Linked DNA regions of Saccharomyces cerevisiae S288C. Changing the gene in region 4 together with the main gene of any one other region gives a genetic interaction. Each region holds a gene or a part of one and is shown on either strand. Other genes may lie near its edges. The genes, in order: HOS2, SIF2, SWC5 and CTI6.

What was found.
Region 1: mutations in CTI6 (region 4) and HOS2 together harm fitness more than expected from each alone (negative genetic interaction), as found in Saccharomyces cerevisiae (4 studies listed by BioGRID, with this or other methods).
Region 2: mutations in CTI6 (region 4) and SIF2 together harm fitness more than expected from each alone (negative genetic interaction), as found in Saccharomyces cerevisiae (4 studies listed by BioGRID, with this or other methods).
Region 3: mutations in CTI6 (region 4) and SWC5 together harm fitness more than expected from each alone (negative genetic interaction), as found in Saccharomyces cerevisiae (5 studies listed by BioGRID, with this or other methods).

Annotation. Positions count from the first base shown.
Region 1 is NC_001139.9:137,831-146,196, forward strand, and holds HOS2 (histone deacetylase HOS2), read right to left. Parts: upstream 3,897-8,366; coding exon 2,538-3,896; downstream 1-2,537. Other genes in the region: GCN1 (Gcn1p), read left to right, coding at 1-1,713; YGL194C-A (uncharacterized protein), read right to left, coding at 1,889-2,131; YGL193C (uncharacterized protein), read right to left, coding at 4,086-4,397; IME4 (mRNA (N6-adenosine)-methyltransferase), read left to right, coding at 4,416-6,218; COX13 (cytochrome c oxidase subunit VIa), read left to right, coding at 6,978-7,367; protein phosphatase 2A regulatory subunit CDC55, read right to left, coding at 7,979-8,366.
Region 2 is NC_001134.8:445,795-450,520, reverse strand, and holds SIF2 (Sif2p), read right to left. Parts: upstream 2,813-4,726; coding exon 1,205-2,812; downstream 1-1,204. Other genes in the region: YMC2 (organic acid transporter), read right to left, coding at 1-854; exocyst subunit EXO84, read left to right, coding at 3,198-4,726. UniProt on the Saccharomyces cerevisiae protein: Antagonizes telomeric silencing in yeast. May recruit SIR4 to non-telomeric sites or repression.
Region 3 is NC_001134.8:680,042-688,244, reverse strand, and holds SWC5 (Swc5p), read left to right. Parts: upstream 1-5,154; coding exon 5,155-6,066; downstream 6,067-8,203. Other genes in the region: VHC1 (Vhc1p), read right to left, coding at 1-1,344; ARC40 (Arc40p), read left to right, coding at 1,653-2,807; DAD3 (Dad3p), read right to left, coding at 2,984-3,268; telomere maintenance protein PBP2, read right to left, coding at 3,576-4,817; COQ21 (Coq21p), read right to left, coding at 7,683-7,883; OM14 (Om14p), read left to right, coding at 8,195-8,203. UniProt on the Saccharomyces cerevisiae protein: Component of the SWR1 complex which mediates the ATP-dependent exchange of histone H2A for the H2A variant HZT1 leading to transcriptional regulation of selected genes by chromatin remodeling. Involved in chromosome stability.
Region 4 is NC_001148.4:199,210-208,093, forward strand, and holds CTI6 (Cti6p), read left to right. Parts: upstream 1-4,211; coding exon 4,212-5,732; downstream 5,733-8,884. Other genes in the region: mitochondrial 54S ribosomal protein bL36m RTC6, read left to right, coding at 1-167; tRNA (34-2'-O)-methyltransferase regulator RTT10, read right to left, coding at 286-3,327; TCO89 (Tco89p), read left to right, coding at 6,039-8,438. UniProt on the Saccharomyces cerevisiae protein: Component of the RPD3C(L) histone deacetylase complex (HDAC). Responsible for the deacetylation of lysine residues on the N-terminal part of the core histones (H2A, H2B, H3 and H4).

The DNA.
Region 1 (8,366 bases), on a different chromosome or scaffold from region 4:
CTTCAACAGATTATGTCACTACTAAAGAGTGATAATATAGAGAAACGCATAGCTGTTTTAGAACGTTTGCCAAATTTCTTCGATAAGACTGTTCTTGATTTTGATGTCTATATTCCGAACTTTGTCTCTCACGCAATTTTATCATTAGATGATGAAGATCAAAGGGTTGTTAATGGTAACTTCAATGCTTTGTCTACTTTGTTGAAGAAGGTTGATAAGCCCACCTTAGAAAAATTAGTTAAGCCTGCTAAACAGTCATTGGCATTAACAGGCAGGCAAGGTCAAGATGTCGCTGCATTTAAGCTTCCAAGAGGCCCTAACTGTGTTTTGCCTATTTTCTTGCATGGTTTGATGTATGGTTCGAATGATGAAAGGGAAGAATCTGCATTAGCCATTGCTGACGTTGTTTCGAAGACCCCTGCCGCTAACTTGAAGCCATTTGTGAGCGTAATTACTGGTCCATTAATTCGTGTCGTGGGTGAAAGATTTAGTAGTGATATCAAAGCAGCAATTTTATTTGCACTTAATGTGCTATTCATTAAGATTCCAATGTTCTTGAGGCCTTTTATCCCTCAATTACAAAGAACATTTGTTAAATCCTTGTCTGACGCTACCAATGAAACGTTACGTCTCCGCGCCGCAAAGGCTCTTGGTGCCCTGATTGAACATCAGCCTCGTGTTGACCCTCTAGTCATTGAACTGGTGACAGGTGCCAAGCAAGCCACAGATGAAGGTGTCAAGACTGCGATGCTTAAAGCTTTACTGGAAGTTATTATGAAGGCTGGTTCCAAATTAAACGAAAATTCTAAGACAAACATTGTCAATTTAGTTGAGGAAGAAATGTTGGGTAGCAATGACAAATTGGCAGTTGCTTACGCTAAATTAATCGGATCGTTATCAGAGATTTTGTCGAACGACGAAGCCCACAAGATATTGCAAGACAAGGTTTTGAATGCAGATCTAGATGGAGAAACCGGTAAGTTTGCTATTCTGACTTTGAATTCCTTTTTGAAAGATGCACCAACACATATATTCAATACGGGCTTGATAGACGAATTTGTAAGTTACATTTTGAATGCAATCCGTTCCCCTGATGTTTACTTCGGAGAAAATGGTACCATTGCTGCTGGTAAATTACTTTTATTAGAAGGAGAAAAGAGGTCTCCATTTGTTAAAAAGGATGCTGCAGAACCATTCAAAATTGGCGATGAAAACATCAATCTGTTAATTAATGAGTTGAGCAAAGCTGTCTTACAACCAGCCAGTAATTCTACGGATGTAAGAAGGTTGGCCTTGGTGGTTATAAGAACACTAGCCAGATTCAAATTTGACGAGTGCATTAAGCAATACTTCGATGTAGTAGGACCATCTGTATTTTCTTGCTTGCGTGATCCTGTTATCCCAATTAAGCTCGCAGCAGAAAAAGCATATTTAGCTTTGTTCAAATTGGTTGAAGAAGATGACATGCATACTTTCAACGAGTGGTTTGCTAAAATTTCAGATCGCGGTAACAGCATCGAAACTGTCACAGGTACTACAATTCAATTACGGTCTGTTGGGGACTATACCAAGAGGGTTGGTAAAAGGTTAGCAAATGTCGAAAGAGAAAGGATTGCTGCCGGAGGAGACGCGGAAACAATGTTTAGTGACAGATTTGAAGATGAAAGAGAAATATGGGCTGTCGGAGGTGTTGAATTAACCACTGATATTTGAAGAAAATTCAATGTGGTAACCTCGTTACTTTTTGTATTTGATATATTATTCTCGTTATATAATACATACCACATAATGATATAAAAGACAAAGATATTTTGAAGTCTTCCGCTGTGCATAAGGGTTATTTATATATCTATTGCTCCCAGCATTGTAGCTAATAAGGGCTTGATAATTATTCGTACCCGGATTCATAATTGTCAACTAACTGCCAAACCCAGCGCTCTAATAGTGGCGAGACTTGCCACCACATCATATCGTTACGATCTGTATTGGCGATTCCTAAACACCAAATAACTGTCGACTTTAAATAGCGTCTCAGAAATAACTTATAAGAGAGGTTTATTATTAGAACTATCAATAAAATTAGAGCAATAATTTTAAACGGTTTGATACAAGTTATCTCTTTATTAGACATAATTGTCCAGATGTATTACATGAACTGAGTGACTTGCTCTAATGTTGTAGACACTGATGTCCGGTTTAATTAAGAAAGATTTTGGAAGTTTCACGATATCGATAATGCTGCGGGAGAAGCTTTCAAATTATAAGAAAAGGCTTTTTTTTGTTGTTTTCAGAGTAGTTTGGTGACTTGTCCGTTTCAGAAGTGTCTCGAATACGGAGTGCACCTTCCAAAAATGTTTCTGACGGCATCGAAGAGCCGAACTCTTATACAATACATGTCATTTTTAACAATGATGCAAATAACTTTTAAGGCCTTAACACTCTACATAATATGCTAAAAACATTAAAAAAAAAAAAAGGAAAATAAAAAAAAAAAAAAAAAAAAAAACGGGAGATTAACCGAATAGCAAACTCTTAAACTATGAAAAGGCAATCAATCCACTGTTTTCTTTTTCCATTTCTTCTAGCCTATTTGAACTGTCTGCTTCTGTTTCTTCATTCATTTCTTGAATGATTTTATCCTCTTCTTCTGTCAGGGCACTTATATCTTGTGTCGGTATGCATTCAGCATCCATTCTGACACTTGGTGCTCCTTGCAAGTATCTGATATTTTCTAGACATCGTATTCTAATGTCTTCCAGTAGTTTTTTACTGTTTTTGTTTTCGTATAAGTCATCTAACATAGGATAAAGTGAATAATCCGGCCCGAATGAGTCCCGGAATGGGATATCTTCGGGGATGTCTTCTGGTAGCAAGACATCATTTAAAATTCCTGTCTCGTAGGTCCAAAGCCGTGATACATTTCTAGGTGTATAACCTCCACCGCCCACTACTAGCATTGGTAGACCAAATGATTTGACAAATTTTACGCATTCTCCATGTGCCTTTATATTTAAATTGAAGCATCCTAAGCGATCATGACCTAAGGAATCCGCACCGCATTGTTGGACAATAAGTGTTGGTTTGAAAGTCATTATTAGAGGATCTACAATTGACTTGAAAAGGTTTATATATGAGTCGTCATCTATGCCATCTTCTAGGGGTACATTTAATGCGAAATGTTTTCCTTTGTCGCAACCAATTTCTGTCAGATCACCAGTTCCTGGGAAAAATTCGCCATTATATTTATGAAAAGACAACGTGAAGACCCTATCTGTGGTGTAAAATGCCTCCTGGACACCATCGCCGTGATGTAAGTCGATATCGATATAAAGGATTCTTGGGTGATATCGTAATAAGTTCAAAATAGAAAGCACAATATCATTTACATAGCAAAACCCAGATGGACTATTCTTTTTTGCATGATGAAGACCACCAGACCAATTTATCGCTATGTCCGATTGATTGTTGATTAGTTTCCTGGTGGCGTCAAGGCTCGCACCAGTGTATAGTGTTGTATAATCATATAAATTTTGAAAAATAGGACAGTCGTCTCCAATGTTAAAATTTTCAAGTGTGCCTCTGGGCAGTTTGTTTGCATTTTCTGGTGAAACCTTCGAGAGAAAATTCACGTAGTCTTCCGAGTGAAATTGTAGTAATTCGTCTCTGGTAGCGCTTCTTGTTTCATAAAGGTCCATAATCTTGTGCAATCCATAAGAGGAAACTAGGTGATCCGTTAGCATTAACCGAAACGGCTTCATTGGATGCTTAACACCATAATGGTAATGTGAAACTTTGGAGTTAAAATGATACGATACCCTGGGAGAATAAGCAGAATTAAACTCAAATAATGGTTCGTTCTCCTTTGTTTTCACATCATAACTAAATGTTCCAGACATGTTGCGTGTTGTTATTCACTTGATACCTGATTTTAACGTACTTGAGTAATCTGGCGTCTTTTCTATAACTGTACATTGGCGACACACCTAAAACTGATTAGAATCGTTTCAAGATGCTTTCAGTTCAACATTTAGTAACATAGTAGGAATATCACGTTTAACGATGCCCCAAAGAACATCGAGAATCCTCTATATAGAGTATAAACAGGGCATTCTACATTGGTATAGAGGTGCCTTAGGTATATAGTGGTACCGGTCACATAAATTGACGGGAATATGCGTCTTTAGGCGGCTTTTGGCGTACAGTATTGTTCTTTCTTTCGTGCTTGTGAAACTTGTTATAAACAAAGAAAGAGAAAGATCTCCCCGGCATTCTGGAAGATCGGTAACCGCTGGAGCTATAGGAAAGGGAGATGGATAACAGTAAAGAAAACGGACCATATAAGTTAGCATTGGGGGTTTTCGAAAAAAATAAGAATTGGCATTCAGACTTGAATTCATAAAAGTTGTAAGCAGGCTATGATTAACGATAAACTAGTACATTTTCTGATCCAGAATTATGATGACATCCTAAGAGCACCGCTTTCTGGACAGCTCAAAGATGTGTATTCACTGTACATCAGTGGCGGATACGATGATGAGATGCAGAAGTTGAGAAACGATAAAGACGAGGTCTTACAGTTTGAACAGTTTTGGAATGATCTTCAGGATATTATATTTGCAACGCCGCAGTCCATTCAATTTGACCAGAATCTATTAGTGGCAGATAGGCCAGAAAAAATTGTTTACCTGGACGTTTTTTCCTTGAAAATTCTCTATAACAAGTTCCATGCCTTCTACTATACATTAAAATCGTCCAGTTCTTCATGTGAAGAAAAAGTGTCGAGTTTAACAACAAAACCGGAAGCTGATTCGGAAAAAGACCAACTGCTGGGTAGACTGCTTGGAGTCCTGAACTGGGACGTTAACGTCAGCAACCAGGGGTTACCACGTGAACAACTGAGCAATCGCTTACAAAATTTATTGAGGGAAAAACCATCATCTTTTCAGCTTGCTAAAGAAAGAGCCAAATACACGACCGAGGTCATTGAATACATCCCGATATGTAGTGACTATTCGCATGCATCTCTATTGTCCACCTCGGTGTACATTGTCAATAACAAAATCGTTTCTTTACAATGGTCCAAAATATCCGCATGTCAGGAAAATCACCCAGGATTAATTGAGTGCATTCAATCAAAAATTCACTTTATCCCTAATATCAAACCACAAACTGATATTTCGTTAGGAGATTGTTCCTATTTGGATACCTGTCATAAATTAAATACGTGTCGATACATTCATTACCTGCAATATATTCCGTCATGCTTGCAAGAGCGAGCTGATCGTGAAACTGCGAGTGAAAATAAAAGAATACGGTCAAACGTTTCCATTCCATTTTATACTCTGGGCAATTGCTCCGCACATTGTATCAAAAAGGCTTTACCTGCACAGTGGATCCGTTGCGATGTGCGGAAATTTGATTTTAGGGTTCTTGGAAAGTTTTCGGTAGTTATTGCAGATCCTGCATGGAATATCCATATGAACCTACCATACGGTACTTGCAACGATATTGAACTATTAGGTTTGCCTTTGCACGAACTACAAGATGAAGGTATTATTTTTCTTTGGGTGACGGGTAGAGCTATAGAATTGGGTAAAGAGTCTTTGAATAACTGGGGTTACAACGTGATAAATGAAGTTTCATGGATAAAGACAAACCAACTGGGTAGAACAATTGTTACAGGTCGTACGGGTCATTGGTTAAATCATTCTAAGGAGCATTTATTGGTGGGCTTAAAGGGTAATCCAAAGTGGATCAACAAACATATTGACGTCGATTTGATCGTATCAATGACCAGAGAGACTAGTAGAAAGCCTGATGAACTGTATGGTATAGCAGAACGGTTGGCAGGCACCCATGCCAGAAAACTAGAGATATTCGGAAGGGATCACAATACGCGGCCTGGCTGGTTTACCATCGGAAACCAGTTGACAGGAAATTGCATTTACGAAATGGATGTCGAGAGGAAGTACCAGGAGTTTATGAAGAGCAAAACTGGAACCAGCCACACTGGTACTAAAAAAATCGACAAAAAGCAACCTTCAAAATTACAGCAGCAGCATCAGCAGCAGTATTGGAATAATATGGATATGGGGAGTGGTAAGTATTATGCTGAGGCCAAGCAGAATCCTATGAATCAAAAACATACTCCCTTTGAATCCAAACAGCAACAAAAACAACAATTCCAAACACTAAATAACCTATATTTTGCTCAGTAAAGCGTTAAATAATCCTTTTAAACATTAATAGCATTGCATAAAAAAGATGGTCATAAAAAAGACTGCAGCGGGAAGTAAATGGTTTCCTGGTCTGTATTAGACAAACTTTGGAATAGAGAAGGATATGGTTTATGTCCAATAATTATTATCCGAGTCCGTGTATTTTTTTACATCAACTGGAACAATTTATTACCCGGATGTTTAAAAATTGTTGTCGCCTGGAGAAAGCTAATACTAGTTCTGGCCATATTTTCAACCATTAAACACTACTAATGTAATTACTTGACTTATTTGCTCCCACTCTTGGTCGGTTCTTTCCCATGGCGCATTCTACCATTCTTTTTTTCTACTCCAATCGTTCTTACTGGAAACTGTGGGAATAGCGAAGAACGACTATTATTTGCTAATACAGAGTAAGCTATCCTGCTGAATAGGTAGACGATAGTAGTAACCCAACGCCGCTATCCTTTCGATTATACCGCTATGAATGTAGTGATATGGTGCGGTATTGACACAATATAGTAATTTCGGGTAATTTTTTTTCCCACCAATGAGAGGCGGTACTGGGAGTATCGGTCTAAGAGAATCGAAAAATAACCCCCAGCTGGGATGTGATCACGATGAGTGACGGGATACATTAAATATAACAAACATACACGTTGCCTTGAACGTTTTCACTACACATCGCATGTGTTTTATCTAGATTTAAAATCATATTACTACAGTTCTACAGTTATACAAATAACAAACAATAGAAAAATGTTTAGACAGTGTGCTAAGAGATATGCATCTTCATTACCCCCAAATGCTTTGAAACCTGCATTTGGCCCACCAGATAAAGTGGCAGCTCAAAAATTTAAAGAATCATTAATGGCCACTGAAAAGCATGCGAAGGACACATCTAATATGTGGGTTAAAATCTCAGTTTGGGTCGCCCTACCAGCAATTGCTTTAACAGCTGTGAACACATACTTTGTTGAAAAGGAGCATGCTGAGCATCGTGAACATTTGAAACATGTGCCAGACTCCGAATGGCCAAGGGATTACGAGTTTATGAATATCAGGTCTAAGCCTTTTTTCTGGGGTGACGGTGATAAGACATTATTCTGGAATCCTGTTGTCAACAGGCACATCGAGCACGACGATTAATTAATTGATTAAGTGAGAATAAACTTTTCGAAAAATTTTTATTTATGATAATTTTACTAATTCTTACTTATTTCTTTTATATTCGATAAAAAAAATTCAAAATAAAAAAAGATTAATCCTTTGATAGGAACTAAAGGTACTAGGTATTTTGGGCGGCGAAGCATCATTCCGTTCTTAAACATCTATATATATATAATTATATTGCAAATGTATAAGCATTTAAAAACATAAACATGCACCTATGAAGAAGAATTTAAGACGTTTTATTTTTATGTTCCACGCGTTTTGGTGAAGTGATGAAAGAAGTCCTGATAAAGGGATGTCGGATTAATAATTGATACAGTGTTTATAAGATAGCTAATCAGAAAAAAAACGAAAGAAAATGGTATAAGTCTCAGAATAATGATAATAAAACACGCTTGAAGTAGAATAAAAATATAAGTAGAGAAGATAAAATAAAAAAATAAAGATAGAAAGATTTTCAATGAGGGGCAAATCTAAATCTAAAAAATTTGAATTCAAGTTCAATTTAAATTTCAATTAAAACAGTAGTAGTATGTGGGGAAGATATGGGATAAAAAAAAGTAAGGGAAAATAAGGAATTATTATAATTATAATGCGGAAAAAATGAATAAATTATTAGTTGCTGCAACAGCAATACTATTTTCTCTTGGATGCCATGAGAAATGTAAAATATTCTTCTTGAAATCAATATCGTCACCCCAATCCTTATTTCTTGCAGACCTTTGCGCTAGCGAACCGTATCTTTTGTTCCTGAACGCTGTTTTGTCAGCTTGTAACACGATTTCATTCATTTCGGTTCCCGAGTCCTCCGAATTTGCTCCTTCTCCTCCCGCTATACTGCTTCTAGAGCTATTACTACTTCCCACCATGCCTGTGTTGCGTCCGTTACTCCTACGCTTGTGGCTGTTGCCACTACTACTAGAATCTTTATTTTGTATGCTGTTGTGGATATTTTTATTGCTGTTGCTATTAGGT
Region 2 (4,726 bases), on a different chromosome or scaffold from region 4:
GCTACGTAAGAAATGGAATTCTTGTATTTAGGTTTTCGTAAATCATCGTTTTGTATAATGGATTTCACAACGTCCAATGGGTATACTGTCAACCACAACATTGTCCCGGAAAATGCACCAAATAAGCATAATTTCCAAGGAGGAATTTCGTTTCTTGTTAGTCCCGTACCAATTTCTCTGGCAACCAATGCTTCGTAGACAAGAAAATATGTACCAAGCCCATGTCCGGCTCTTATCATTGTGGGAAATAAACCCCTCATCAATCCACCTTGAGCTTTCAATTTTTTAATACAGTCCCAAGGACCTTTGAATTCTCTGTCTCCACCATTAGATGTTTGCGTCTGCAAACGAATTCTTATTTGTTCAATGGGCGATGCCAAGAATGAATTGACTACACCACCTGTCAACCCACAAACGTAGTACTGGGATAGTGGCAGAGTATTTGAACGTGAAAGATCTACGTCCTGTGAGCTCATATTCGGGTTCTTAGAAGCGTTGTAATTTTGGAAAAATCTTTTCATCGCCTCATTCACACCAAATTGTACTGAGACACATATACCAACACCCAATAACGGTGTTAACGCACCTTTGTAGAATGCAAACACACCCTCATTCTTTACCAAGTTACGCAATACCTCCAACGTTGTTGTTCTTGTGGTGGCTGTTTGAAGCCTAACTTTTGTTGTATCAAACGGTTGCCCTACAAGAACTTGTGCAATACCACCGATGGTACCCGCAAAAATATCCTTCAACACACGATTAGAACTTAACTCTCTCTTCTCATTCGGCGTGGTAACTTTCTGTTGATCTTCCAATTCATCCAAAAGCTGCGGCGTAGGAAATTCTTCACTCATGACTAACTGTAATTGTAATACACGAAATTATTGCGCCGCTTTTTTCTGTTCTTTATGGCTACCCCTATTTATCAATTACAGTTGTATCATCCAAGAGGTGAAAACTAATTAAAGAAACTTATTTTAACACAAGGTATAAAAAATTATAAAAAAGCAATGCTCATTGTCTTCTCTCATCGCGAGCGGCCGTTATCTTCAAAGTGATGACTCTTCGAGATTCCTGCACAACGTCACTCAAAGGCGGCCCGCGACGTTTTCCATTGCGAAATTTTTCACTTTTCACCTTTTGTAAACAAAGAAATAACAATAAGAATGATAAAATTCATCTGTTTATGTACTGTACCTAGTTATTATATGGCTACAACTGAACCTTCTTGAAGCGAGTATGCTACAGAAATCTTGTTTCCCGCACAGTTCCATGACAGATCAAATATATAATCATTGTCTTGGCTGCTTTGGTAGCTAGCGTAGAGGGGAATTGGTAATGGATTCAAAATCCCATCACGGTTACCATAAAGACTTCGTGACTTGCTGTTCAGTTTTTTTAAATCGTAGACGTTTACCTGCCCATCCATGAAAGCAACTGCGTACTTCTGTCCATCTTGTGATATTCTTCCAGCAAAAATTGGGACACCATCCACGATTGATAGAGCCAATAGCGTATTCTGCTTCAGCGACCATAGGCGAACGGAGCCATCCATCGAGCAGGATATTACCTTATCATCACCGACCCATGATGCCGATACTATGCTTTGTGAGTGTCCGTAGAAGCAATTCTGAGAATTGCCGTTACCGCCATGCCATATTCTTAGAGTACCATCGTCTGAGGCACTAAGTAGAAGTTTATTGGTGTCATTGAACTCCAAAACGCTGATAGGTCCATGGTGTCCAATAAGTTTACCAGTGGGCGTTTTTTCTGTAATTTGGTATACAAATATAGCACCTTTAGGGCCAGGAATGACAAATTTGTCATCGTCTACCCATTCAACGTCAACCCCAAGTGAACCATCGCCACTATGGTTCTCTGCGTTGATGGATGAGCCACCGGTTTCTTTTAATTCAAAGTGCTGCATGACGGTCCCGCTTATAACATTCCAGAGTATAGTGACATTTTCCACGTCCATGGATATGATATGTGTTCCATCTTTGTTCCATTTAACGGATACTATAGGTGCTCTATGAAAATTTAAAACATTCAGAAGTGCCCCCGTCTTATTCCATAGTCTTAGCTCACCATTTTCTACACCCGTGACAATTGAATTACCATCGTGTGACCAAGCAAGACATGTGACTTGATTCGTCGTTTTACCACTACTTGCACTCAGAGCAAAAGGATGTCTCAACTCCGCTATTATCGTGAGTTTCCAGTATTTTTTCCCTTCTTGATCGGTTTCTACTATCCTCGCTAGTCTTGCAACAGAATTTTTTTCACCGTATGCGAGTATAGATTCATCCAATGGATTCCAAGTGGAGGAAACAATATTATCTAATTTTACTATCTCCTTCAGTATTTTGACAAATCCGTCTAGGTCATCACTACTGTCAATAGAATTAGTATCGTCCTCTTGGGTTTCTCTTTCAACAGTACTAGCGCCATCTTCACCTGCTTTATTACTCTCGGAATTGGTTTCCAAAGTGAACCTTCCTTCAGAAGAGATCTCAGGAAATTTTTCTTTATCTATTTGCAGCGCCTGAACCAAATTGAAATCTTCAGAAAGATGATGTTCATTTAAAGCGCTGATATCACCTTTACTATCAACCATTAACTCACTTTCTGTATACAAGATTCCCCTTTGTACTAGATTCACCAGTGTACCCAAAGGAATGTGTTCTTTATACTTCTCATCAAATTCCAATACTCTTGTTTCATCCTGCAATGCTAATGCACTCACCTCGTGTCCCATCTCTTGACAATACCTCCATATCAAGTAGTTTAGTTCTTCACTTGTTATACTCATTTTCCGTGTGATGGGCCTTCCCTACCTTTTTTTTGTTTCTGTTATTTTTATCTGAGTTAGCAGTTGTTAGTGTGGGCTGTACACTTCTTTGGAAAAAAAAACCTTCAATTTCGCACCAAGGTGTTTAAATTGTTCTCACTAATTGCAAATCAAAACGAATGGTCTTGCATATCTCATAACCTTTTCAACATGAATACATTCCTAATCATTTTTGTTTATTTCTCGTTTGCTAAGTTCCGCTCCATGAAAATAGATGACTGGAAAAAGAGACTAGAGACTGCAGTTAATAGTATATTTGTAAGACCTTGAGCAAAGCCGAATGAACAAAAAGCCTTCATATTAGACCAGGTAAGAGACTGAAAGTTGAAATATTTGTACTGTGAAAATGGTTGAGTTTTCTTTGAAGAAGGCCAGAAACAATTGGAAGCATGTAAAGAAGTCTGCAAGCTCTCCTGCTAAGCAAAAGACACCTCCATCGCCTGCTAAGCCTAAACAAAAAACAAAAAAGAACCCTTATAGTGATCTCAAGGATCCGGCTACCAGTTATACGCTACCAACAATCAATGCAAGGGAGAGAAGTAGGGTAGCAACTTCAATGCAGAGAAGACTATCAATTCATAATACAAATTATGCTCCACCTACACTAGATTACTCAATGCCCCTACCTGATATGCCAAACATGATAGTTCCCAATGATAATGTGGATAGTAGTCATAATAATAGTAGTTTCACCACTGAGAACGAATCGGTAAGCTCTAAAGGCCCTTCCAACAGTTTAAATCTTTCAACTGCCGATCTCTCCCTGAACGACAGCTCCTATAATAAGGTGCCTGCTAGATCAGCAATGCGAAATACTGTCAATCCTTCCGGCAGTAATGATCCTTTCAATAATAGCACGTCGCTAAGAAAGATGTTGGCAAACCCGCATTTTAATGCTAAAGATTTTGTTCATGATAAACTAGGCAATGCGAGTGCCATTACTATTGATAAATTTACCTCAAATTTAACAGATTTATCGATACAGGTCCAAGAAGAAGTAAAGTTAAATATCAATAAATCATATAACGAAATCATGACGGTAAACAACGACCTAAATGTTGCTATGTTGGAGCTTAAAAGGGTTAGAGCAAATATAAATGATTTAAACGAGGTTTTGGATCAGTGCACCAAAATAGCTGAAAAAAGGTTACAATTGCAGGATCAAATAGATCAAGAGAGACAAGGCAATTTTAACAATGTTGAAAGTCATTCTAATAGTCCAGCGTTACTTCCGCCTTTGAAAGCAGGACAAAATGGGAATCTCATGAGGAGGGACAGATCGAGCGTCTTGATATTAGAGAAATTTTGGGATACGGAACTGGATCAGCTGTTTAAGAACGTTGAAGGTGCTCAGAAGTTTATCAATTCTACGAAAGGAAGACATATTTTAATGAATAGTGCCAATTGGATGGAATTAAATACTACCACTGGTAAACCCTTGCAGATGGTACAGATTTTCATTTTGAATGATTTGGTACTTATCGCCGATAAATCAAGAGATAAGCAAAATGACTTTATAGTAAGCCAGTGCTATCCTTTAAAGGATGTCACTGTCACGCAAGAGGAATTTTCCACTAAGAGGCTACTTTTCAAGTTTAGCAATTCGAATTCAAGTTTGTATGAATGTAGAGACGCAGACGAATGCTCTAGGTTGTTGGACGTTATAAGAAAGGCTAAGGATGATTTGTGCGACATATTCCATGTAGAAGAGGAGAACTCTAAACGTATTAGAGAGTCCTTTAGATATTTGCAATCTACGCAACAAACCCCAGGTAGAGAAAACAACAGAAGCCCTAACAAAAACAAAAGACGTAGTATGGGGGGTTCAATCACTCCTGGCCGAAATGTAACAGGCGCAATGGATCAATATCTTTT
Region 3 (8,203 bases), on a different chromosome or scaffold from region 4:
TAGGAAGCACGCCAAATTCATGACCACAAACGTCATTAAGAATGTCATTGTGATAAATGTGGCGATTTTATTGACGTCTGAAAACAAACATAGCTGTGTTAGAATCCAAGTAAAAATCAATGAATATAACGGTGAATGAGCAAAAATCTCCAAACCAGGAATAATGTTATCCTTTGCAATTGCTTCTAATACATAAGCAGCACCGAGCATCCCCACTATGATGGAGAAAAGAGAAGTAGCCATTTCACCCATGAATATAACCCACTGAACGGAACTGATCGTCTGTATAATTTGTACTTCATCATATAACGATCTTCTGGGAATGGAACAACCCATGGAGAAGACAACAACGGCATAACAGATAAAAGTGAAAAGTAAACCCCATAAGGTACCCTTAGGAATTGATTTAGAGGGCTTTCTCAATTCACTTGACATTCCTGCGCCCGCGAATATACCAGCTGTAGCAGGAAAAAAAACGCCAAATAAATCATTGAATGTTTCCTTACCTTTGAGTAACGAACCTGCTGCACCTTTTGTTAAGTGAGGGAGCAGGTTATCATGAAAAGTTTGCCATGAAGGACCTGTATAACTGATACCGCCTTCAGTGAATGGCGATCTTATCAATGCAGAAAGTGGAATGGAAAATATAGAAGCTGCCAGTACCAAAAAAAGAATATTCCCTGCTCTTGACACTGTTTGCGAGCCAACAAAAGCCACAGAAAAACATAAGAAAAGAATGACCGTGGCATATGTAAATTCGTGCCAATGCCCTCTTGGTAGTAGCTCTCCCAAAGCTGCAGGTGGCTCGCCTTGAGCAGAATAACCCAAGTTATAGAGTAAAGGTTCGATAATACCCACTGCGTTCATACCTGCATTGAACACCTGCCCTAAGAAAAAGACAAGCCCAATGGATCCACCAAATTCAGGTCCTAAACTTCTTGAAATCATATAATAAGCACCCCCGCCCCTAACAGTCCCGTTTGTAGATATAGCAGATATACTTAACGTGGTGAGAAGATTAATAGTGTAACTCAATAGCAGAAGACCGATGGTGCATATAATACCTAACTGACCCAAAATGAAGCCAAAACGAAGAAACATAAGGATAGACAATACGTTTAAAGCAGTAGGCACAAATACCCCATCGTATGTTCCCAACTTATCTTTGTTTGGGTTATCAGGATCATACTTAGAGGAAACTTTTTGGCATTCAGGGGTCGCCTGATAATTGAAATATGTTTGACTTATTCTCCTTGCAGACAACAGTGAAGAAGATTCATTTGAAGAAGATATTGCCGACGATGGCCGATGCGTACCTGGAATCTGATAAAACCTACTAACCATTAATCCTACAAGAAAGGCCTATTCTTAAAGAGAATTGGCTGGCAAAAACACTGTCTCTATCACTTCTTCGACAACAAGCACAACCATTTCTTAGATTTCCTTGTTACTCTTTAACAACAATGTTGATAATGAATCCTACGTTATCAGTTGCACAATTATCAAAATCTTCTTGTCACCCGCCCGCGCCTTGCCTATAATGAAAAAGGGTCAAATAAGAGCAATCTTGATCGAGAAAGCTTCCAGATTAGAAACAAAGAAAAATAGGAAAAATAAGCCGAAGTAAACGTATATTAGTTGAGAGTCTCCTAATGTCATTTTCCAATTCTAAAGACAAGTCCGTTGTTGCCGTCTACAAGCTGGTCAAAGCGCCAATCTACTCTCATTGCTTTTCTCAAGATAAATCTATTTTAGCCGTTACATGCGAAACAGATTGTCTTGTCTATAGAGTTTCAAACAACACACCTCCCGTTTTATTCGCAACGTTGAAAGATCATGATAAAACCATTACTGCTGTGGACATTTCCATACATGGTCGTATTGTGACTTGCTCCCAAGACCGTAATGCTTACGTTTGGGAGCCATTGAGTGATGGGACATACAAGCCCACGTTAGTACTTCTTCGTATTAACAGAGCAGCTACTTCAGTTACATGGGCACCAAATGGTTATAAGTTTGCTGTTGGGTCCAGTGCTAGAATCATCGCTGTTTGTTATTACGAACACGAGAATAATTGGTGGGTATCCAAGCACATCAAGAAACCCATCAAATCTACCATCAATTGCCTGTCTTGGCATGCAAATGGAGTCCTATTAGCTGCTGGTGGTACTGATGGGTTTATGCGTGTGTTCAGCGGGTTTATCAAGGGTTTGGATTCCAAGGAATCCGTCGCCGGATCACCCTGGGGCCAGAAATTCCCTTTTGGTTGTTTAATCAGGGAGTGGTATCAGGGTTCTTATATCCATGATGTGGAATGGAGAAGTCAGATGGAAAGAATTGCTTATGTAGCGCATGATGGTACTTTGAATGTTGTCGATTACCAATCTCCAGTGCAATCTGTCAATGCTCCGGAAGGTTTACCTTACAGGTCCTTAGTATGGATAAACGACCACGAGATTGTTTGTGGAGGATACTCTTGTCATCCGGTATTGTTCAGCGAAGCCTCTGAAGGCTGGAAATTTGCGAAGAATCTAGACAAATCAGACAATAACAAGTCTTCTGCCTTAACTGCATCTGGTAATACAGACGAGCTGAGTGGTAATAATGATGAAAGTTCAACTTTCGGTATTTCCGCATTGAGAAAGTTTAAAGAATTAGACTTGAAAGGTAAAGTTAGCACAGATGTCCAAGAAAGTGCACATGAAAACGCCATTGTGGAATTAAGACCTTTTGCGGAATCCAACGGCCAAATCACACAAGTCTCTTCCTGTGGGTTAGACGGTAAGATCGTCATTTATACAATTTAAATATACATACGTATATATATATATTGTTATGTGTATTCCCTACCTCATAATACACCTTGAGTTTGTATTGTTTTTTTCTTCACTTGGCATATACAGACTATATTATTACAACTCACAGCACAATGTAGTGTACCGTAAAAAATAAAGCATCAGAATCAATTTCTTGCACCAAACCATTATTTAGAATTGCTACCCAAAGACTCCTGTTCTTGCTTTCTTTGCAAGATAAGCGAGTACACGCTACCTTTTAGCAGTGTCCCAACTAAACCAATTTTGACCTCTATGTCCCTCATCTCCTGTAGTATCTCATCTGGCGATACAGTTTCTTGCTGTGAATGCTGTTGCCTGTGTTGCGAATAGTTTAGTTCTTTTATAGTTTCATCCAGAGCTTTTAGATCTAAAGAAAGCTGTTTGTATTTGTCCAATACTTCTTGCTGTAAAGGTGAAAGATTGTGTTCCATACTGTGACTACAACGCCGTGTATGTTTCACAGCGACTTTGACTGGCTACTGTAAGCTCTTCTTTTGTATTCTTTGGAATAGTTTATTTACATGTAATTACTGTAATAGCGCGCAGCCGAGCTAAAAAAAAAAAAAATACAAAGCTTTTGATCAATTTGTTACAAAGAGAAATAATTCCGCGTACGTATTTCTATTGATATTTATATATCTACATTCATTCAATTTATTACCTTTTCTTTTATTTTTTTTGCCTTTTGTAGTTTCTGTATTTTTATTTTCTATGTGTTTTTATTGACTAGCAGTATATTTAGAGGGGCGACCTTCTTTTACGTTCAGCATTTGATCTATCAATTTCAATTTTATTGCTAATCAACATAATAGCAGCTTGGGACGCCATGAACGTACCTCTTATGGTAAGTCTTCTCTCCGAAGAGCCTTCTACAGGATCTTGTATAATAATTGAACAACCTGTGGATTCCTTGACCGAATTTATGTGCTTGCCATCTTTGCCAATGACATTTCCGACAAATTTCTCATCTATGAATATCTCTTGTTGTACAAAGTTCATTAATAAATGGTTGCCGGGTGCCGGACTGATAACAGGGCCGTCTAAGACTGTCACATTAGGGATAACGAAGTTCGGTTGAAAGGCCGTTGCGTTTGCAACGCTAGCAGTAGTATACTGCGGTGTGGCCATACTCAACAAAGTAGATGATATTGGTAAATTTTTGTTGGGTTTGTATGAAAGTAGTTTATCGCTTGGATGATATTGGTGGTTTCTTTGATGGAAAATGGTGTTCGGTTGGCTATGGTCTATTAATACTGAGTTAAACTGAGTTGGCTGATAGTATATGGACCTTTTCACATTTTTCTGCGGAGATTCCATCTGAAAGTTTAGCAATGTTTGACTAATGTAGAAAGTAGCAATATGGATAGCATCCGGAACCCCGTTAATGGTTAAAATTCTATCGTTAGAAAGCAGCAATTGATTCGGGGACGCGAATAATTTTGCTGCACTCAAATCCTCAATTTCTCTTAACCGAGACCCACGTTTGCCAATTATACATCCCATAAGATGATGAGGGATCAATAGGTTGATAGAAATCTCAATGTCTTCCCCGTTATCTTCGTTACCATGTTCTTCAAGCAGCGCTCTTACTATCATGCCGTATGCCTTGGCTACATCATCGCAAGTACCCCTCACGTAAACAATTCTTTCAGGAACACCTCTGATATTATTTGATATGTTTATTCTAGCAGAGGTTTCGGATTTTATTCTAGATATAGTGGCGCCCTTGTGTCCTACTATCAGTGAAGCGTGTTTGACTAAGCACAGCATTCGTAAATGTACATCAGAGGGAACATTGTCGGGGGAATCGTGGTCGTTGTCAGAGTGGCTGTCTGCATCCTTCAGGGCCACGCGTTTGATTTCTGCTTCCAGTTGTTCCTCGCTGGTGTCTTCACCCTTTTTCCTTTTGAGCGTGTTGGGAGAAACGAGTACAGTAGTTGGTGTAGTAGTGATTGATGGTTTTGTAGTCTCTGTGGACATAATTGAGCTAAAGAGTATTACAGAAAGATTATTTAATGCCGCGCTGGACGATTAAAATTGTTAGAGTGGATGTGGCTATGGATAAGTTTGAATATGAAAAAGGTTACTTATGCGGCTAACGACTAGGTGCGTATTTATCGTTTGACGAGTATGTACGTGTTTTCTTTTGTATCATGATATTTCGTGTAAGTACCATATCGGGGAAAGACAAAAAAAAGTGAATTAAAGAGCGAAGTTTAAAGATGATGAATAGGATTAATCGACAAGTAAGAAAAAAGACGAAAAGGCGTAAACTGGAATAATATTGTTTCAAGAAAGAAAACCCACTAGCCTATAAATGCCAGAAGTAGAGACAAAGATTATACCAAACGAAAAGGAGGACGAGGACGAGGACGGCTACATAGAAGAGGAGGACGAGGACTTCCAGCCTGAAAAAGATAAATTAGGTGGTGGTAGCGACGATAGTGATGCCAGCGATGGCGGTGACGACTATGATGACGGTGTGAACAGAGATAAGGGTAGAAATAAAGTGGACTATTCGCGTATAGAGAGCGAGAGCGGCGGACTGATCAAGACTAGAAGAGCTCGGCAAGCTGAGGAAGAATATGCGAAAACACATAAGTATGAATCGTTAACTGTTGAATCGATCCCTGCAAAAGTAAACAGCATCTGGGAGGAGCTACAGGAAGCTAGTAAGAACCGTCTTTTGAGCAGTTCAGGGAAAGTCGGCTCTGTTCTCGACGGTTCCAAGGAGGCTAGGTCGACAACGGCCGCGCAACAGGAGGACAAAATCCTCATCGAAAGAAACTACAAGTTTGCTGGTGAAACTGTCCATGAGAAAAAATGGGTTTCACGCAGCAGTGCGGAGGGTCAAGAATATCTAAACAGTTTGAAATTTAAGCAGCAGGCGCCTGCTGCTCCTGTTCAACTGGAAAAAGCAGTTAGGACCAAGTCCAATGAAAGCCGGCAACACTTGCGACGGCCACTGAAAAGGCCTCCATTGTTGGAGCAGATCATTTCTGGCGGGCTACGACCCAAGCTAACGACATTAGAAAAATCTCAGCTGGACTGGGCTAGTTATGTAGACCGTGCTGGACTTAACGACGAATTGGTGCTGCACAACAAGGATGGGTTCTTGGCCCGGCAAGAATTTCTGCAGCGGGTCGGGTCTGCAGAGGACGAGAGATACAAAGAATTGCGCCGGCAACAACTTGCTCAGCAGTTGCAGCAGGATAGCGAAGCTTCATAGACAAATATTACATGTATTAAATAACATGCTTTTCTGCTCAAATTTTTTTAACCGCCGAGGCCTGCACACTTTCACTACGTGTATAACGATGCTGCAGACAAAGTAATGGGGTGTATGGGTGTGGGTGGCAAAAAAAACCTAGCAACGCTCTATGTTTCTTTTCTTTTTTCTTTCTTTTTTTTTTTTTGCCGTTTCCGATGGGCCACTCGGTGAAAACATATAAAAAGGGCTCTACATTCATTTTTTCATCGATGAGTACTTTACTTGTTATCAGATTTATTCATTTTGTTTCTACTTGTTTTTTTTTTAAATCCCCACGAATCTCTTTGCCTTTTGGCTTAGATCAAGTGTAGTATCTGTTCTTTTCAGTGTAACAACTGAAATGACCTCAATGAGGCTCATTACCTTTTAATTTGTTACAATACACATTTTTTGGCACCCAAAATAATAAAATGGACGGGAAGAGACTTTTTAAGCAAGTTGTTTTCCGCTAATGTCAGGTCTCACTACTTTTTGCTGCTATTTTTCTTCGCTCATGGTTTCTTCATAAGGCGTTTTTATGATGGTTTTTCGAAATTGGTTTTTGAGACGACGGTTGCTCAAGGTTATTGTTTTTGTTTTCTTCTGGTTGTTTTCTATTTTCTTTTTTTTAGCTTTCTGTTTCTCCCTTAGTTTGGCTTTTTGCTTCATACTCTTCCCTGTCTTTCCGAGCCGTTTATGTCCAACGCGGGATTTGGTTTTTCTTTATCGATGGGAAGAAATGGTGCTATAGTAGGTTGGGAGATAATATTTATGGTATGGGGTGCTAGTGCGGATGGGGCGCTCTTATTGTTGATTTCTTCGCTCGTCTTCTTTTTCTGGTGGCGCTGCAAGAGGAAGTTTTTCGACTTTGTTATGATTTTTGGTTTGCAAGGAAAGGTGTCTTACGATTCTTTTTTTGATGTAATAGGATAAGCTTGCTTATCCCCCAAGTATCGGCCAAAGTTGTTGATTTTCCTTTTGAAGTGTCCTCGGTTTGAGGGGGTGTAGGGTGGGGTTGGTCTACAATAAGAGTGTTCCATTGTTAACGTGCTGGCGTCTTTTACTATATTTTTTTTCCCAGTTTATTTTGTGCTTATTTTCTCATTGAGGAGAAGGAGCTCTTCTCGCAGGATATAAATGGAGGTTTGCTAAAGGGGAGGAGATGTGTTTGTGAGAATACTGCTGAGAGAGTTCTGGAAGAGAAAAAAAGGAGGCAATGGAAGGCGTTTGCTGGGAAAAGAGAAGAGCCATGACTGCATCTGTTGTTTCAAGGCCAGTTTTATTAACCGCCTATGTCATAGAGGCGTTTTTTTTGGAGGGATTTGAAGAATGCCGGCGGCATCAAGAAACGGACTTGATGGTTGACGCCTGTTTTTAAAGTTAGAGACGTCGCGACCCTCGCACTTGTGGAGTCGTTCTTGACTTTTACTTTGGTCGCTTGATGTTTCTCTCGTCTTCCCGTTCGCTCTTTTATTTTTTTATTTTTTTTTTCCTTTGACTTCGCATGAATGAGTTCATTCATGAAGCGAAAGGAGAGATTCTATATACCACGCAACCAAATATGTAAGTATATAAAATATATGTATGTGTGTGCACTAATTGGCGGCATACTCTTTCTTGACCCGTTGTGATAGGGCCTTAGCTGCTTCCCATTGCCTGTCCCGAGTCCAGCGACTCAAGACGTTGGACGTGCGCACGTACTCACACATGGCCGAATTGGCCCTTACGAATGAGCTCTTGGCTACCCCTCTTGCTGCACTCGCCACACACCATAACTGGTATAATTCGTTTCTCATGCTAGTCTCTTTTTTTTTTTTTACTTGTTTCCTTTTCCTTTGTTGCTTATCCGCTTTCTCGTTCTCTCCTCTGTTCTTGCCTCAACTCCTCAAATCTCTGCTGTCCCACTTACGTTTTATTTTTTCACCGTCCCCTTTCCCTGCCCTACTACCCCGGGCCAGCGGCCAATGACGCCGCCGCTACCTCCTCTCCCGTTAATCGTCCCTGCGTATATAAAGTGTCGATCAATGTGCCCACTTCAACCGAAACCGCCGACGTAACCCTATTCCAACAATTAGAAACATAACATCTACCTCCAGCATCTCATAATATGTCTGCA
Region 4 (8,884 bases):
CGCAACCAGCTCTTGTTGCAGCTAACAGACCTTTGGTTTTTAACAGAGGTTTCAAGGTCAGAACATCTGTCAAAAAGTTCTGCAGTGATTGCTACTTGGTAAGAAGAAAGGGAAGAGTATACATTTATTGCAAGTCGAATAAAAAACACAAACAGCGTCAAGGCTGAAAGATGTAAATCTCTTCGCTGTTCTCCGTTCGGGTGTTTACAAAATATTCTCATTTTCTAAAATCTGTAAATAATACATATCTATAATATTCTTTTATGTATATGTTAATTTTTTGTATCATTTTTTCCAAATTGATAAACCAACACCTCCGATCAGTAACGTTTTCTCAGAATCAGCATCTTCATCATTGGAAATGATTTCTAATGATCCTGTATCCGCCACAGTGGTACGCTTTTTATCTACCAGTGAAAGCTTGCCTGCGGTAATTTCCCAAGCGCGTATTACTTGATCAACCGATGTGGTAATGACTTCTTTGCCACCATTAATCAACATACCGGACGTTATTGTCGAAGAAGCTGCTGCAGCGATAAAGTCACTTGTTTTTAACGTTACTTTATTCGAGTCATCTAATTTCAGGTTGCTTAACCCTAAACCATTATCATCACCCCCTGTCAAAATTGTGGCGGAAGTTCTTGTAGCATTAGCAACATAGTCTAGGGACTTGACACCAGATTGATGTACCGGCAACTGCGCTACAGGTGCGGGAAGATTTGAGATAGTAGCGTCCAGTTTGTGGTCAACCAAATCGCCAGAAATCGGATCAACGGAAAATGGTACGTACTCGGTTATATTATAAACCACTAAATGTCCATCAGTTGGTGAAATGACAACAAGGAGCTCTTCTTTCAGTGCAATAAATACGACGTTGAATAAACAGCACGTCTTATAACGACCTTGCATGATCAGGTCAAACTTATTCTGATTTTCCCTATAGTGCCAAATCTTTATTGTTGAATCTGAATAAACAGTAACTAATAAGAAGTCACCTGACTGTGATATAAATTTGACATCAAAATCCATGATCCTTAGATCAGAATTATTTGTGGATACAGGTAAAGCTTGTCGTATGGTCATATATGGTCGTTTATTATACTTATCGTTCAATTCCCATAAGAATAACTCCTCTCTAGCTGAAGATGATATCATTAGTTTGTGATTTATAAACTGACAACGTTGTAATCCAGACACATGCTTTCTTTGTGTCCAAAAATTCTGCACCTTCCCTGTTCTATTGTTAAAATATCCCAGCTTAATTGTAGTATCTTCAGATGCAGTACAGAATATATGCCCATCCTTAAAATTGTCATTCGTGTTGGTATTTGAAACAGGACAGATTGAAATATCTCTGATTTCCCTTCCGTGTACACCATTTTCTAAAGTTTCAGGCACAATGGAGTTGTAAATTTTCCTTAAATGAAATCGGGATGCCTTAATATACATTAATACGTGGCCATCAGTAATTTTTGCGAGATTCCACAGACGATGGGAACCACCACAAACTTCACTAGCTAGTTCATAACAGTTGGTTTCATTGTAGAGATAAAACAAGCTGGACTTGAACCCATAAGTAATGTATTCACCTTTTGAATTAAAGAAAGCGCCCTCCAAGAAACCTTTCATCATCTTATTAGAATGCAAGACCTTATAACTTAGTCGGTAGGGACCCTCTTCCAAACTGTTTTTCGTCAACTCAATAAATACATAATAGCCATCCCTATTTGTTACTGAGAAGACCGCAGAGTTGTCTTTATCTTCTACAAATTCGATTGAGGTTGTAGTGTCTCCGGGACTTAATCTCCTAATTATGAAGGGCTCCTCGCTCTCATCAAGTAAGTTGTAGATTACTAATGTACTAAAACGTGAGCCGACTAAAATATGATTTCGGAAGGAGGTCAAACATGAGGAAGAAAAATTTTCCGGCTTATTGAAACAGTGCTTGCTTTTAATTTTTAAGTTCTGAAGGCTTATTTCCAAACATACAAACTTCTCTCGAGGATTTGGGGATTGTAAAGTCAATAGGAAGGAGTCATCATCGTATTCTGTAACGAGACAGTTATTTGTCTTAGAAAGCTCATCTAAATGGAATTCTTCGGTCTCAATTATGTCAGCGCTATCTTTGCTAAATTTGATAAGAAGGATGTCACTTTTATTATTGGAAAAGACAGCGATATTTTGCGTTTGAATCCCATTTGTAATTGGATACGAGTTGAATTTTTCATTTGTTAGTAACAACTTCCATTGTTTCGTGACATCACTGTATTTAAGTATTTTACCCAATGAAGTGATAGCAATTACACCGAATGAAAACCATTGAAATCCCTTGATACTTTCATTCTTTTCGAAAATATCGCCACATTGCTTTGCGATATCATCTAGACTGAACGATGTTTCTTCATCGCCGTGTCTCTTCAGTTGAAGAAGATCAATCAGCTTTAACCTACCATCATTCCCGGAGGTTACAGCTATCATTTCGTCGTCTTTCACATCAACGCCCCATATACTCTTGATTAAATGTACTTCGTAAACGTTAGATATGGATAATTCGGCAACGTTTTCTCGTGATTCGATAATGTTCCATACACGGCATGTGCAATCTTCAGAAACACTTATTAGTTTTGAATCATTATCAAAAAACATTAAATTCCATATTCTTGCCGTATGGCTCCAGCCAACAGACAGCTGCTTGCCAGTTTCTAAATCCCACAGTCTAATTGATCTGTCGTCAGAGCAACTGGCAACATATCTTCCGTTGTTGCTTAAATTAACATAAAAGATAGAACCTTCATGACCCAGTAAGTTATGAATTTTTGTCTCCGAGAACAGGTCCCAAATGATAACACCGCCCATTACAGTACCAGCGTTAACATATACTTTATCCGGACCGAAAACTTTAATTATACCGGAATATAGAATAGATCTTTCTCCCCCAAGAGACTTCCTAAAAAGAACTTCACAATTTAAATCACAAATTAGCACTTTATTATAACATGTTAACAAATATATTTGCAAGTTGTCAAAGCTGAATGTAGCACCGGTAATCCAATCTGAGTTAATCCTTTCGAAATCCACCAATGACTCTTTCTTTAAAACGTCTTCAAGTTCCACTATTGTTACTGATCTTGCACCATAGGCCAAAATTTTCCCTTCACTAGAAAGGCTAAGTCCATGAACTTTATTGTAGTGAAATAGCCTACATTTGTTAATCAACGTAGCCGAATGATAGTCATAGACATGGATGAAAGGCCCATAACCAGCTAGAACATAATCATTGTAAAATTTAACACATAGCGCAGGACCATAATGAGACAAGTCCTTCATTTTAATCACTTATTCTTCTTCAATGAGCAACTTCAATTGGCGGGAATGAGAAGCTAAATAACGATGAGGTCCGCTAGCAGAAGTTTTTTCATGCTCATATTTTTCCACTTTTTTTTTCTTACATTTTTTTTTTCAGCAGCGTCGTTTTTTGTGAGACGCCGATGTGTATGCTAGGCTTAAATCTATCATTCAGACCCCAGTGTAAAACATAAGCGGTGAAAAGTACGTAGGGTAGTATACAACTCACCAAAGCACGACTACGTGAAAATGACCCTGAGAGTATCATCAATGTTATCGGCTGTATAAATAATACACCAGAACAAATTCCTCTTAAAGATGTAGGCAAGACCAGACTCAGTTTCTCTGAGCAGTACCTTCAATTTTCAATTTTTGATAGATGTTCGTCACTAATATTTTTTTATTGAGTTAAGTTCACCCACTTCTGGCACTTCTTATAACCTTGATAATTAAAAAGACCTCGGCGGTTATTTTTTATTTTGAGCAGTTATAAAGGGCATTACCCTCATCATCTTGCGGAAATAGGACGGAGCACGTCGCAGACAGGCTTTAACGTAATCAATTAGTTTTGAAAAATTTCTCCGCTATGGGTAAACTAGGTAAACCGCACAGCACAATCAGCTGCATTTTCTATTTTCAATTTTCTATTGGTGGCTTTTCACTGCATGATCAAAAAATAACGTTTTGTTGATTAGTTTTTTCTTTTTTGTTCTTGTTGGTTTTCGTATATGAATTTTATGTAACTGGGTATTTACAGGGGTACAAAGTTCACAACAGAGACCATCAATAGTTTGTTTCCTTCGAAGTTTACTTTGCGTAACCTTACTAAAAGATAGCATAAACATATAGGAGTATAGAGAAGAGTAATGGAATCGACAGCAATAGTGCCTAAAGGCCCTGTTGTGGGTAGTGAAGATATGGAGAAAGCGGAAGTCATTGCTAGTGGGTCCACAGACATTATATCAACAACATCAACAGCGACAACAACGGCGGCGATTGGAAGTGTACAGGAAGAAAGTGTAAAACAAGAAGATGTTCCTATGGAAGGTGGAGAGGGGGAAGTCGAGGAAGAGGAAGGCGAAACTCGCTGTATCTGTGGAGAGCTCGATACTCCAGATGACTCCGGATTTTTCATTCAATGTGAGCAGTGCAGTTCCTGGCAGCACGGTTATTGTGTGAGTATTACTCAAGACAACGCACCTGATAAATATTGGTGCGAGCAATGCAGACCGGAGTTACATCAGCTCTTTACCACAGATACTGGCGAAGCAAGGTCAATCTATAAACCTGTGCAAGAGAAAAGGAGGCAATCAAGAAGGAAGGCACGAAGTGCAGCTGCAAGTAAATCTCATGCCGCCAATGAAGCAGAGAAAAGTCCCAGAAATACCAGCAATACCGATGATAACGTCGACGATATCGGCGACGAAGAAGATGAAGTAGAAGATGAAGCTTCGGCTGTAGCATTAGCCAAGGACGGCAACACGAGGTCAAGTAGAAGGAGGAGGAGGAATTCAATGGATGATGCTTCTACCGATCAGTATTCACTGGATCCTGGAGATAGTGATAAGAAGCTACTGGATAGAAAAAGGGCAACTTTCATGGCAAGAGAAGAAAAGCAATATCAAAGAATGCTTGAAAAAGCCTTGAAAGAAAGCAGGAGGACATCACATCAAGAAGATCCTGAAAGTTATGAAAATGATGCTGATATATACCAAGGTGATACCGACAATCACAACGGCACCACTCGATTACAAACGGATGTTATGCTAACGGAAGGCAAACCGGACTCGGTAACAAATGATGATATGAAAGAAAGCCTACGACCATCGAAAGAGCAATCAATGGAAAAAACAAATGATGTGGAAAAAGAAGCTAGTCAAGAAAAGGAATCTTCTACGGGTTCGGCGCAAGACACTGAGAAAACTGATGAACCCATCCTACCCCTAACCTCAATATCTTCTTCTGAGGATGATTCAAGGAAAGCTAGTTCGAGGGGTTCTAAAAGAGTTTCCAAACCAGCAAGAAAGGGCAACAGAACTCGTCGAAGCAATACAAGTTCAGACACCAACCAAAATAGAAGGAGTGCTGATATAGGTACCGACAAACCAGTAAAGCCCAGATTACCCCCTCAAAGGACCTCATTAAACGAAATGAGAAGAAGGGTATCCGCTATTTTGGAGTTCATTTCTAGAACTCAATGGGAATTGAGTGAAGATCAGTCTGATCGAGAGGAATTTGTACGATTCGTGGAAAACCAGCATTTCGTAGAAAAAGTTGATACGATTTACAACGGTTATAATGAAAGTCTATCAATGATGGACGACCTGACTAGAGAGTTACTACTATGGGAGAAAAAATATTCAAATAACACTAATGCCATTCAATAAACGCAAAACACTGCAATATTATTCTCAACCAAAGTATAACTGTAATGAGGCGAACAAACACATCTATACATATATATACATCTATATGGATATAAAAACGACTAATTCAACGTTGTTTTTATCAACCGAGCTTACTCTTGTACGGGTAACCGCAAGGATAGCTAGTTGCGGATGGTATAGCGATTTGGCTGGCACGATGATTAAGGAATCCAAACATCTAATGGACTAGCACATTCTATCGATTTACGGGTCAGGTAAACATAGATATTGGGATATATCATATATCCTTACTGAGTAACTATAATTATGGTTCATCGAGGAAGGACTTTGAAGTCAGACACTGATGTAACATCTCTTAATGCGTCAACAGTATCACACCAGTCAAAGCCATTTAGACAGTTTTCGACTAGGTCGAGAGCAAAGAGTAACGCAAGCTTCAAAGGTTTGCGTAGAGTTTTAACACATGATGGCACCCTGGATAATGATTATTTTAATAAGCACAACGTTTCTCAGAAATGCAAGAGTTCTGATGCACTTTTCAGAAAGCGAACGATTAGTGGGTTGAATATGACAGCTTTAACAAGAGTAAAGTCCAATCAAGGAAAAAGATCAGCATCCTTTCATAGTCCGGTGCATAATACGCTGCTCAGTCCAAAGAACAGCAGTCATTCTAATACTGGAACTGCTGGTTTCGGCCTGAAACCACGAAGAAGTAAAAGTACCCAATCTGTTCTGAGTCTTCGAGATGCGCAAGAATCTAAAAAGAGTGAATCTACTACTGACGAGGAGGTGGAATGTTTTTCGGAAGACAACATTGAAGATGGAAAGGTGAATAATGATAAAGTAATAGCCGAGCATGTTATGCCTGAAGAAAAAAAGAATGTGCAGCAATTAAATCAGAATGAATTACAATCCCCGGATTCAATAGATGAACAAGAAGAAGATAAATCAGGTACTGATGGAAAGGAAAATCATAGAGCTGTATCCTTACCATTACCTCATTTATCTTCCAATAACTATTTCGGAGAATCAAGCCATTCTATAGAACATCAGAAAGATGGAGAAACATCTCCAAGCTCAATTGAAACAAAACTGAATGCAACAAGTGTAATCAATGAAGAGGGGCAATCAAAGGTGACGAAGGAAGCTGATATTGATGACTTGTCCAGCCATTCTCAAAATTTGAGGGCCTCATTGGTTAAAGCGGGCGATAATATATCAGAAGCACCATATGATAAAGAAAAAAAAATTCTTGATGTTGGTAATACCTTAGCTGCACATAAAAGTAATCAAAAACCAAGTCATTCAGATGAACAGTTTGATCAGGAAGATCACATTGATGCCCCTAGGAGTAATTCATCAAGAAAAAGCGACTCGAGCTTTATGTCTCTTAGGAGACAAAGTTCTAAACAACACAAATTATTAAACGAAGAAGAAGATCTAATCAAGCCTGATGATATTTCTTCCGCTGGTACCAAGGATATTGAAGGGCATAGCTTACTGGAAAATTATGCGCCTAATATGATTCTCTCCCAGTCGACTGGAGTTGAACGTAGATTTGAAAATTCATCATCCATCCAAAATTCGCTTGGGAATGAAATTCATGACTCGGGTGAGCATATGGCTTCAGGTGATACTTTTAATGAACTGGATGATGGCAAATTGCGCAAGAGCAAGAAAAATGGTGGAAGATCTCAACTTGGCCAAAATATACCGAACTCTCAGTCTACTTTCCCCACCATTGCTAACATCGGTAGTAAAGATAATAATGTACCACAGCACAACTTTTCGACCTCCATATCGAGTTTAACCAATAATTTGAGGAGAGCTGCTCCTGAAAGCTTCCATGGTTCAAGAATGAATAATATTTTTCACAAGAAAGGTAATCAGAATCTACTTCTGAGATCCAACGATCTCAACAAAAATTCTGCAGCCCCGGCCTCTCCATTGTCCAACGAACATATTACATCTAGTACGAACTCCGGTAGCGATGCAAACAGACAATCCAACTCAGGTGCCAAATTTAATAGCTTCGCCCAGTTCCTTAAATCAGATGGGATTGATGCAGAATCAAGAACACAAAGAAAATTATGGTTGCAGAGGGAGAATTCTATTATGGACTTAAGTTCACAAAATGACGGTAGTGACTCTATCTTTATGGCAGGAAACATTGATGCGAAAAGGGAGTTTGAGAGAATATCCCATGAATACTCTAATGTAAAAAGATTTTACAACCCATTAGATGAAGCATTGTTGAGAGTACAACCTATAATAACGGGAAATGCAAATAATATCAGGAAAAAAAGCCATAACGATGCTCAGTCAATCGCACATTCTAGCAGTGATACAGATCATAAGGATGAGGACGATTTGCTCTTTACTAACTATGACAAAAAATTTGATGATCTTTATCCACATCTTGCAAGTGCAAAGATTCAGGCAGTGTTGTCCGGTATATGGAAAAGCGAAAGTTACTTATTTAACAAGGATGTTAATCCAATCAACAAGAATAGGACAACGAGTACAAACCACAGCGTTGGCCACACTGCTTCACAGAATGCACGTAACTTGCTGAGGGGCCCGATGGGTTCCAGCACGACTTTGCACCACCAACGCGTCATTAACTCTCTGCAGCCGACTACGAGGGCAGTGAATCGCAGGATGGAAAATGTGGGCTACATGCATACACAGCCACAACAAAGGTGAAAACAACCAACACGAAGCACACAGTTTAAAAGAGTAGCTAATGCTTTCGAGGTAAAACGCGAAGTTCGTAGAGAGCGAATATGTTTGGACACTTAAGGAACATACTATGTTTATGCACTATAAAAGGACATGTACTTCTATACGAGCTAACGAGGCGTATTTGTATAACCCGGTTAACGTAATAAATGATAAATTATCGAACAAAAAGAAAGAAAAACGTTGAATGCAACCACCGCAAATTTAGCGATTTCGCTGGATTCCGTATCTCTTAAAAAATGGCATTAGTAAATATACCTTAAACGTGTCTATTCTTTTAGCAATTTTTTGGTAAGTATTCCTCACGGACTATAAATACTATCGGTCAGAATCACTACATTCAAATTAATCTTGTTTTACCGAGTCTCTGACGTTTCATTTACAAGCTTGTCCTTACAAAAAACCTATTT